Drosophila melanogaster: one gene and its partner. Changing the gene in region 2 together with the main gene of any one other region gives a genetic interaction. Each region holds a gene or a part of one and is shown on either strand. Other genes may lie near its edges.

What was found. Genes that interact genetically often act in the same process or in processes that back each other up.
Region 1: of foi (region 2) and Zip42C.1, changing one suppresses a phenotype caused by changing the other (phenotypic suppression), as found in Drosophila melanogaster (one study listed by BioGRID).

Annotation. Positions count from the first base shown.
Region 1 is NT_033778.4:6,715,590-6,719,685, forward strand, and holds Zip42C.1 (Zinc/iron regulated transporter-related protein 42C.1), read right to left. Parts: upstream 2,119-4,096; 5' UTR 2,088-2,118; coding exon 1,070-2,087; intron 994-1,069; coding exon 953-993; 3' UTR 753-952; downstream 1-752. Other genes in the region: Zip42C.2 (Zinc/iron regulated transporter-related protein 42C.2), read right to left, coding at 2,952-2,992, 3,053-3,944.
Region 2 is NT_037436.4:8,523,297-8,528,508, reverse strand, and holds the start of foi (fear-of-intimacy), read right to left. Parts: upstream 3,266-5,212; 5' UTR 2,805-3,265; intron 1-2,804. Other genes in the region: GstO1 (glutathione S transferase O1), read left to right, coding at 3,707-3,734, 3,792-4,375, 4,435-4,556, 4,612-4,642; GstO2 (glutathione S transferase O2), read left to right, coding at 5,078-5,108. UniProt on the Drosophila melanogaster protein: Required for the normal migration of longitudinal and peripheral glial cells. During larval development, required for the migration of the subretinal glia into the eye disk.

The DNA of each region.
Region 1 (4,096 bases), on a different chromosome or scaffold from region 2:
CGGCGGCACAAGTTCAACAGAAAATGTGGGGCGACCGGAGGTCGTATAAACAAAAGCACAGTGCACCCGAGTGCGGAAATCGCGGCTGTAAGTGCTTCAAATGCACGCAGGAGTCGGGAATCGGGGAGGAACTTTCGATTCACCCAATCGCTGGATTTCAATTGATTACTTAACACGCTCTGTCGCGAGAAAAATAGGCTATCTCTACTGCCGCGGCCCTTAAAAATATAGAAAAGTCGTATAGTCCACCACACTAGCACCACACGTCCGTTCGCACTCCAATTGGAACATCATCTGACCGTTGCCGTAACAGCGGCTGTTAATGCAGCCCGTCGAGGGTGGAAATTTCGATAGCATGTATCGAAATATGGAAAAGTTGTAGTTTCAGAAAACAGAGTTACAGCGACTTACAACATGATTCCCATTAAATATTAACAGTTGCTGCTTACCTAAGAAAGTTAAACAATTGTAATTTTAATGCGATATGAAGTTATCGATAGTGCCCGCGCGCGAATAATGTTGTTTGGGTACTGTTAGCGTGAAACACTGTTACGTTACCCCACAGATGTTCGATTAAGCCCTCTGTTAATGAGAATGAACCGCCAACTTTATCGATAATGTTGGTTATGAAGCGTACGCGCAGTAAGATCAAACTAATTTATGAAGAGGTGATTAAAATATTTGGATAGACGCTCTTATACGTAATATATTAAAATTTATAAAAAGCTTAAAGAGCCTCACTAGCTGAATATAAAGTAAAATATTGTCTCTTTTAATCCATATGGTTATTACATTTTTAATTATTTGCGTTGGATAAGATTTCTGAGAAACCTCTTTTGAAATTCTATTCGTATTTTATATAATAACTTTTACAGATCCCCAGGGAATCGTTTTGTATACTATTTTGTTGCTTCCTCTATAACTTGATAATACTGAAGTGGCGTCACACTGGCTAGGAACAGGTTAGGCTGTCATCACCCTCCGCTTCGTCAGCTGTAAAAGAGACAAAAAGTAGAAATGGAAGCTAAAAAGCCGGTCCTACCGTTAATGTCAAACAGTTGTAACTCACAAAGAATTTGAAGGCCAAACATTAGAGCGAATCCCGCAACGGCGGCCACAAGGGCCCTCCATCCGGCATGGCTCTCAATGAGGATCTCAAAGAAGACTACGTACAGCAAGGTTCCACAGGCGATGCCCTGGAGGACTCCGGATGGCAGACTGGGCTGACCCGCTGCCACCTGCTGGCTGATGCCGAGGCCAACACCGATACCGATGGGTGTAACAATGGAGAATGTCACCAGGTACAAGATGGCCAGCGAACTGCGTGTGCGGGCGACCAGAAGCTCCATACCCACGCAGAAGGCCAACACCAACTTGTGGGCGGAGACCGCTCCAAACATGAACCACACAGTGCTCACAGTGCCCTCCAGACCAATGGCCATGCCCTCGAACAGTTCGTGGAGCGAAAGGGCGAGGATAATGCCCAGCCCCCTGGCAGAGGATCCATCGTCCGCTGGCACGGGCATGTGCGAGTGGCCGTGGTGATCCTTGTGTGGCTGCGGTTCCGTATCCTTAACTTCCACTTCTTCCTTCGCCTGTGGATTGAGGAGAACACTGTGACGAATGCTGCGTCCTCTTTCGAAAGCCAGACTGGCCACCGACTCTTTCCGACTAAGCTTTCCCTGGTGGTGCCGCACGAGGCTGGTCATCAGCTCGTCCAACGCGTACATCAGGAAAAAGCCCGTGCACAGCAGCATCTCCGCCAGAGCGAAGGGCGTCTTGACAAGCGAGCCGCATTCCTGGAGCGCTTCCACCACCTCGATCACCTCGGGCAGCATGTGCAGGAAGGTGGTGCAGATGAGCACACCGCCGCCGAAAAAGAGTAGGCACCGCACCACCAATGACGAGCGGGTTTCCTCCGGACTCGCCTTCGTCCAATGGAAGCACCTGTTCAGGACGTAGGGAAGGCTGCCGCAAAGCACGGTGATCACCACGAGCACCACCATGGAAACTATTTTGGCCACCAGCAGCGCATGGTGATCCACGTCTTGCGTTTGCTCTTGTGACATAGTTGCGGTAGCGCTCATCTTCACCTCCCGAGTTGATAGCTTCGACTGTGCTGGCTGGAACTCACAACCAGGCTAATGGTTTATATTTCCAGTCATATATCAGCGGGAGCCGATTGAAATCTGATCGCTGATTGATACGCGGATTCACTGGCAGACAGCGGGCAAGCCTCGCAGCCTAGTATTGTTATCAATTCGCCGTCCCCTGGACAGGTGTCTCTCGTCGGCCCACCGATAACCGAACCATAGCCGTCTGTTCTTTGCGAATTTTATGATTGAGGGAAGTTTCGTAATGTGCAGGAACTTCGGAAGTATTTCCCGAATATTATTATTATTGATACACTGAGATAATTTATTTGTCCATCCAAGGCGGTCTCATCTTAGGTTTATATGGTAAGGATTGCAGGCATGGAATTAAAATCGCAGCACATTTTTTAAAAAGTTAAAAAGATTCTAGCCATATATGTAAATATTCTTGACCAGGATCAGATGATTTCGCCACGCTTGTTTTTTAATTTTACTAAATTTGTTTATAAAATAAATTTACATTTATCAAAATAAAGGTGTGATAAATGCAGAAACTTCCATGCCAAAAGTTGTTCGAATCGGATCATTTATTTAAAAGTTATGGGCAATTTGGTAATTAGTATGTAGCAACCGGTAGGTGGAGCTAATGTGCGCACTCGGAGAATGTCCTTTTGTTGATGCCACTTATAAATTTCCCTCGCAGAAGGGCGTTTAAAGGGTATCTCATGGTCGATGACCTGACCTTGCCGTCCTCTTTCCCCATATTTATAAAGCCAAAAAGCCCACGCTTTATTTTTCGGTAGTTTCTTTGAATTTCTCTATAGGCTTAATTGTTTTCATATAAAATTCGAGTATACCCTAGGGGCATGTGAAATGGCTCTTCCCTTTGGCCTCTCCAACTGAAATAATAAGAGTGGTAATTTGGTTTTTCAGTCATTTGGGCTTTTTAGTATGCTTACTTGCTATCTGGAGGCCAAACATCAGGACGAATCCCACCATCGACGAGAGTAAAATGCGTATGCCGGCATGGTTTTTGGCCACAATTTCAAAGAAGACCACGTAGATGAGGGTGCCACAGGCCAGCCCCTGGAGGATTCCTGATACCGTGCTGGGCTGATTAGCCGCGGCAGATTCGCTAACTGCAATTCCGATGCCCACGCCAATCGGAGTTACGATCGAGAAGACGAGGAGGTAAACCACGGCCAGCAGCCAGCGGGTATGGGCCATCATGATCTCCATGCCGATGCAGAAGGCCAGAACAAGCTTGTGGACGGAAATGGCTCCGGTCATGAACCACACCGTGCTCACACTCATCTCCAGGCCAATGGCCATGCCGCCGAAGAGTTCGTGCAGGGAGAGGGCCACGATTATTCCGAGGCCACGCAGCCAGTTGGGCTCCTTGGGGCTTTCTTCTGGCTGGACCACAATCTCTGTCCGCAGCTCCTCGCCCGCATCCTTGATCGTGACCACCTCCCGTAGCTTCCTTTGCTGCCGCCGACGAACCACAAAGTGCATGGTTTCCTCAATGCAGTACATCAGATAGAAGCCAGTGCAGAGCAGAACCTCCGGCAGGCCGAAGGGAGTGGGGGCCAGCATGCGGCAGTCCTGGAGAGCGTTCACCACCTCGACCACCTCCGGCAGCATGTGGATGAAGGTGGTGGCTATGAGAACCCCTCCACCGAAATTAAGCAGACACAGCACCACTTTGAATTCGCGAGCATTGTTCTCGGGCCTCTGGGTCCACTTGTAGAAGCGATCCAGAAGATAGGGAATAAAGCAGAAGATCAGGGTAACGAGGAAGAGCACCACTATGGCCACGATCTTGGCCACGATTAAGTGTTGGTCTACCATTGCAAACGGAGTAACTGGCCCGATATCAAGCCATTCACTTTTTATAGTGGAATTGATATCTATTCAGTTAGTGGAAGGTATCGGCGAATTGTCGAATATTTACACATATTAAGGGCTTAGTGGTTTCGACTTAAGTTGGCCGAGCAATGTGC
Region 2 (5,212 bases):
ATCTTAATTTTGAGCTCTTAGCCAAAATACTTAATGCGGTTCGAACTAAGATCTAATTAAAACGTCAATATTTTAGCAGATCAACGTATTATTATTTTTATTCCATTCAAACTAATTAATTTAAAAAAAAAATAATTTTTTGGCCAGCCTTCAATAATTTAATTATTTTACCATTGCAATCTGGTGGTCTGAGAATTTTAAAAAAATGTAATCTGAAAGTACTATTAGTACTTCTATTAAATTTACTTACTATTTTTTCAATATAAATAAATAAATAAACTTTAGGAAAAACTGCTTTGTTTTTATTGTTTAAAATTGCACTTTAAAATCGTACATATCGAGAGGCTACTGTACCAAAAACGTACGATTAGATTTGCTGAATCGACTTTAGTTCGCATAACATCTCCATATCGAAAATCGCACGCGTCTGTTTTTTCCGAATTCTCGTGGTAATTGTATAGTCGGCAAGTCACTGAACTCGCTGCTCTCTGAATTCCATGTGTACACCAAAATTTCGCATGATATCTCCAACGAATAGTGCTGTCCCATACGGATTAAATTTCCGCAGAGTAACCCTTTTTAGATGCGGAAAGCTTATGCAGCTGAGTCAGCATAAATGAATTTCATATACATAGAACCTCCACATAAATTCGTTTGGCATCGCAAAAGATCTCCATGCTGAAATTTCAGGATAAGGGTGGGTCTCATTTCGCAAATTGTGAAATTCCAAAACGTTCTGATTACTTTTCGATGAGTCAACATCATGAAATTTCACATTAAATCTCAATTTCATATACTCAAAATTCCTGGAACCCATTCCACATTTTATGCTTCGATCGCACAATCAAATTTCGCATGACATCCGCACAAAAAGCCTAAAATTGAACACGCGATCGCTCAAAGTTCAATAGATAAAACTTGATGAGTAAATTTCACATGATATGTACATACATGGTATCTCCACGTTTTTAGGCCCCTGACACTGCATAATATCTCGTTTTATACATGTCACAACCTTAAACTGCGAAATTAAATCTAGAAACGTACTCGTAGAACTCCTCGCAAGATTTATGAACAACTACTATGCACAATCTACAGTTTGTTTAGCCTGAAATTTCCACCGTACATCTACATCTCCAGATCGTCTCTCTACCTGCTGAGCAATTTATCTTTTATCTTGGCCGCAACACAAACACGAAATTCATACCTGAAACTTCAGCGAAATAACCTGCGAAAAGGTGTACCCAAGAATCCAAGCACATACATACACACACAAATTTGGGCATTATCTTTTTTTTTTTTTGTTTTTTGGTTTCTACCTTTTCATAAGCCAAAGCTTGATGTGAAATTTCAGCAGTGTGTTTAGGAAGATATGAAAAACCTCGCGTCATGTGATGGCCACATGGAACTGAAGTTCTGGATGGGTAGAAGCCAAGTACACACAACTAGACTAAGCTGAGGTCAATCACGTCGGATTCAGATTCGGACTCGGTCTCGGAATCCGAATGGACAGCTACGGATCCAATCCGATTGGATCAAATCCGTACGGAACGAGGCTCTGACCTTGCCATGCTCGCCGTCTGCTGAATTACATACTATGTACGCTGGCTGGCTGGCCGGTTTAGTATTCAGCTAGTACGACCCACCAAGTGACACATAACTGATGTTGAAGGGCTGGCCATATGCGATAAATAATTCATCTGGGGGCATCGAAATGATCGTGGATCGCCGAGAAACGTTTGTTTTCCGTATTGAGTTGTTGGTTGCTGAAATGGTTGGCTGCCTCAGTTGTTGGCGCCTGGTTGCAAGGCATTCATAGCTGATATTGCATTTTTTTTTATTTGCAAATATACATATCAATTTTTGCAAATTACGCTGGCTCATGAATAATTGATTGGCGGCGGGCGTTTGGCGGAGAAATGGAAAAGTTCGCGCCCGATAAGGATGCTTCCCTTTTGGCCACCACCGGCACCACTATCTATGATTCATGCACCACCTACACTTCTAAAAAAAAAAAGACAAAAACAACAGAACTATGTGGAAGGCAGCCAAAAGTGCGAAAGGAACACATGTTGATATATGGGTCAGTGGCGATAACAGTGACGGCTTCCAAAGGGGGTTACGCATCCGGAATACAACTTAAATATTTCATATCCCTCAATGCGCAATACAAATATAAAATCTAATGACGTTATGTGTAAGGTGATAAGAGTATTTATTTACGCAAAATGTAAGCTGTGTACGTCGAACACGTGGATTGTAATTGTAACTATGATCGTTTGGATAAGTCTATTGATTTAAATAGAGAGAATGCTAGAGATAAAGCATACGCGATGTGAAGACTCATCCACGTTGTCTTCCCCCTTGAAATCTTATCTAGCCCCGCCAGTGGATGATAAGCATTCTGGCCCGTTTGATAACACTAATTCCATTGATTTTGCGTAATTAGGCTCTGAAGATAGCGAGCATGGAAATGGTATCAGAATTGCGCTGAATTATGTATAGAACACATTGATGATGTCGATCGAAAATAGCATAAAAACGTGCTGAATATCAGTGTAGTTACGTGTGCATCTGCGTATGTGTGTGTACAACAAATACATATGGATGTAAGTGAGCGGGTGTCAAAATCACACGCACATGGAAATGTCCCGCTATAAATAAATACGAGTGGGTGGTGGTGGGTGGATTTTGGGCGGTGGGAGGTGGAATGGGGGCGCGTCGCATGCACTTTCCATTCTGAACGAACTTATGCCAAGATTAAACAAAGGCGAATAATTAATGCAAGCCCACTACTAACTCACCCGTAAATTTGCCGGACTGTTTAGCACATCGCACACTGTAACACACACTCACACAATTCCCACTAGAGTTATTGCGGGATCGAAGATAATGCTGGACGATTCTGGGAGCTATAGCTTTTGCCGATGCGGTGGGCGTGAATGAAAGAGGCCGTAGAGATTACGCCGAGTGTCAATTACGTTGCAATAATCTCGGTTTGGCACGGGAAATCGAATCGAAGCGAGTCCGCATGGAGCGGCGAGATTTGCACGGGATACGGAGTACGGGATGCGGCCACCAACACCAACACGGGCTCAGTTACGCAAGGGCGAGCTTACTGTAAACATTTTCCGGACACGCTAAACATATGCCGCAGCAGCCATCTCTCTTTCGCTCACACCGCCAAACACAAGAAATCCGCAACTAAAACAATTTTGTTATAACAATTATCGATAGGCGGTAGGGATGTGGAAAAACACCGAATCATCCGCGATAGGTATCGGTGTTCCGTTGCTATCAACGCTACACATCGATGGCGATCAATGTAACCTCTTGCAGCAAATATTAAAAACGATAAATATAAATTGATTTTAGATTAATTATGTATATACAATATGTATTTGGAGCAGTGATGCAAATAGTCTATTATGGATATATAACCATAAATTATTGAAATTAAAGTCCTAAATAATAGATGAATAGATGACTGAATTATATTTAAAAAAATTAAAGTTGTAAAAATTAATATTTAAGATTAAGATAGATTTTTTTAAACCGATTAAATAATAATTGATTAAAAATACATCAATCCTGTAAAAAGACAATACGTTATCGAGCCACCTTAACGTTTACTGTCAAATATCGATAATTGTCATAACCCGCAAAACAGGTTGTGTTCCTTTCCAGAAAAAATTGTATTGCCAATATGAGCAATACTCAGCACTTAACTATTGGTTAGTATAAGTTACTAAGTTCCAAATTCACATTTAAAAGGCGCATATATATTGCAGGCTCGCCAAAGCCCGTATTTCCGGATGATGGGATCTTAAAGCTGTATTCGATGCGCTTTTGCCCCTATGCACACCGTGTGCACCTGGTCCTGGATGCCAAAAAGATTCCCTACCACGCTATCTACATCAATCTTCGCGACAAACCCGAGTGGTTCTCCCTGGTGAGCAGCTCCACAAAGGTGCCGGCACTGGAGCTGGTCAAGGAACAGGGAAATCCTGTGCTGATCGAGTCGCTCATTATTTGTGACTACTTGGACGAAAAGTATCCGGAGGTGCCATTGTATCCCAAGGATCTGCTTAAAAAAGCCCAGGAGAAGATTTTAATCGAACGTTTCGGACAGTTCATCAATGCCTTCTACTACCTGTTGCTGCACGACAATCCCGAGCAGCTGGTTGACACCGATCACTATGCCGGATTGGTCGTTTATGAGGAGGAACTGAAGCGACGTTGTACCAAGTTCTTTGGTGGCGACAGCCCAGGCATGCTTGACTACATGATGTGGCCCTGGTGCGAGCGCTTTGACTCTCTGAAATACACTTTTGAACAAAAATTCGAATTGAGTCCGGAACGTTTTCCCACTTTGGTGGGTCCTATTGGTTTTCTAATTATGTCTTTTAAATTACCGAGATTGTTCTACTGCAGATTAAGTGGCGCGACTTGATGATCCAGGATCGTGCTGTCAAGTGTTTCTATCTGGATGGACAGACCCATGCCAAATACATGAACTCCCGGCGATCGGGCCAGGCCGATTATAATATGCTATAGTAAGATTTGAAGATTATACATATAATGTGTGACTGATCCATTTCTCGTTTCTAGCAATGAGGCCAAACGTGTCAAATTGGGGTAGTCTACGGGATGATGGCGTTTCCACTTCAGCATTGTACCTTTTGCACATATAACATGTAACACATGTACCTACTACGGCAGCATTATTGTGATTGAAAAATAAATCTTTGCATTTTCATTGTTTATACGGGTTGTAAGTACGTTTGTTTTAGAATTAGATTAATGAAGGTATGAATGATAAATGGATATGAAAATACTTATCTTAGAGTAGTCGTTTGTAGTCTTTAATATGTGGTCAAACAATTTTCTTAAATATGAGCTTAAGAATTTTAAATTCACCCGCTCAACAATCGAAATATATTCGATAAATTCACTCGTCCGGCGACTGCGACCACTTTATAAGGTACCGGAATCCCTCTATTTGTTGTCAGTCGATCGGAACTACTTTGCCACCAACATTTCACGTCTTGGGAATTATTTTAAAATTGTTAACAAAATGGCCCTGCCGCAAAAGCACTTCAAGAGGGGTGAGTTGGGGGCACTTCAAGGTCATCGGGATAGTGACGCTGCAAAAGTTGGCAATTGATTTCATAGTTTTATCTAGACCCCACTTTGAGAGGCGTAAATTACG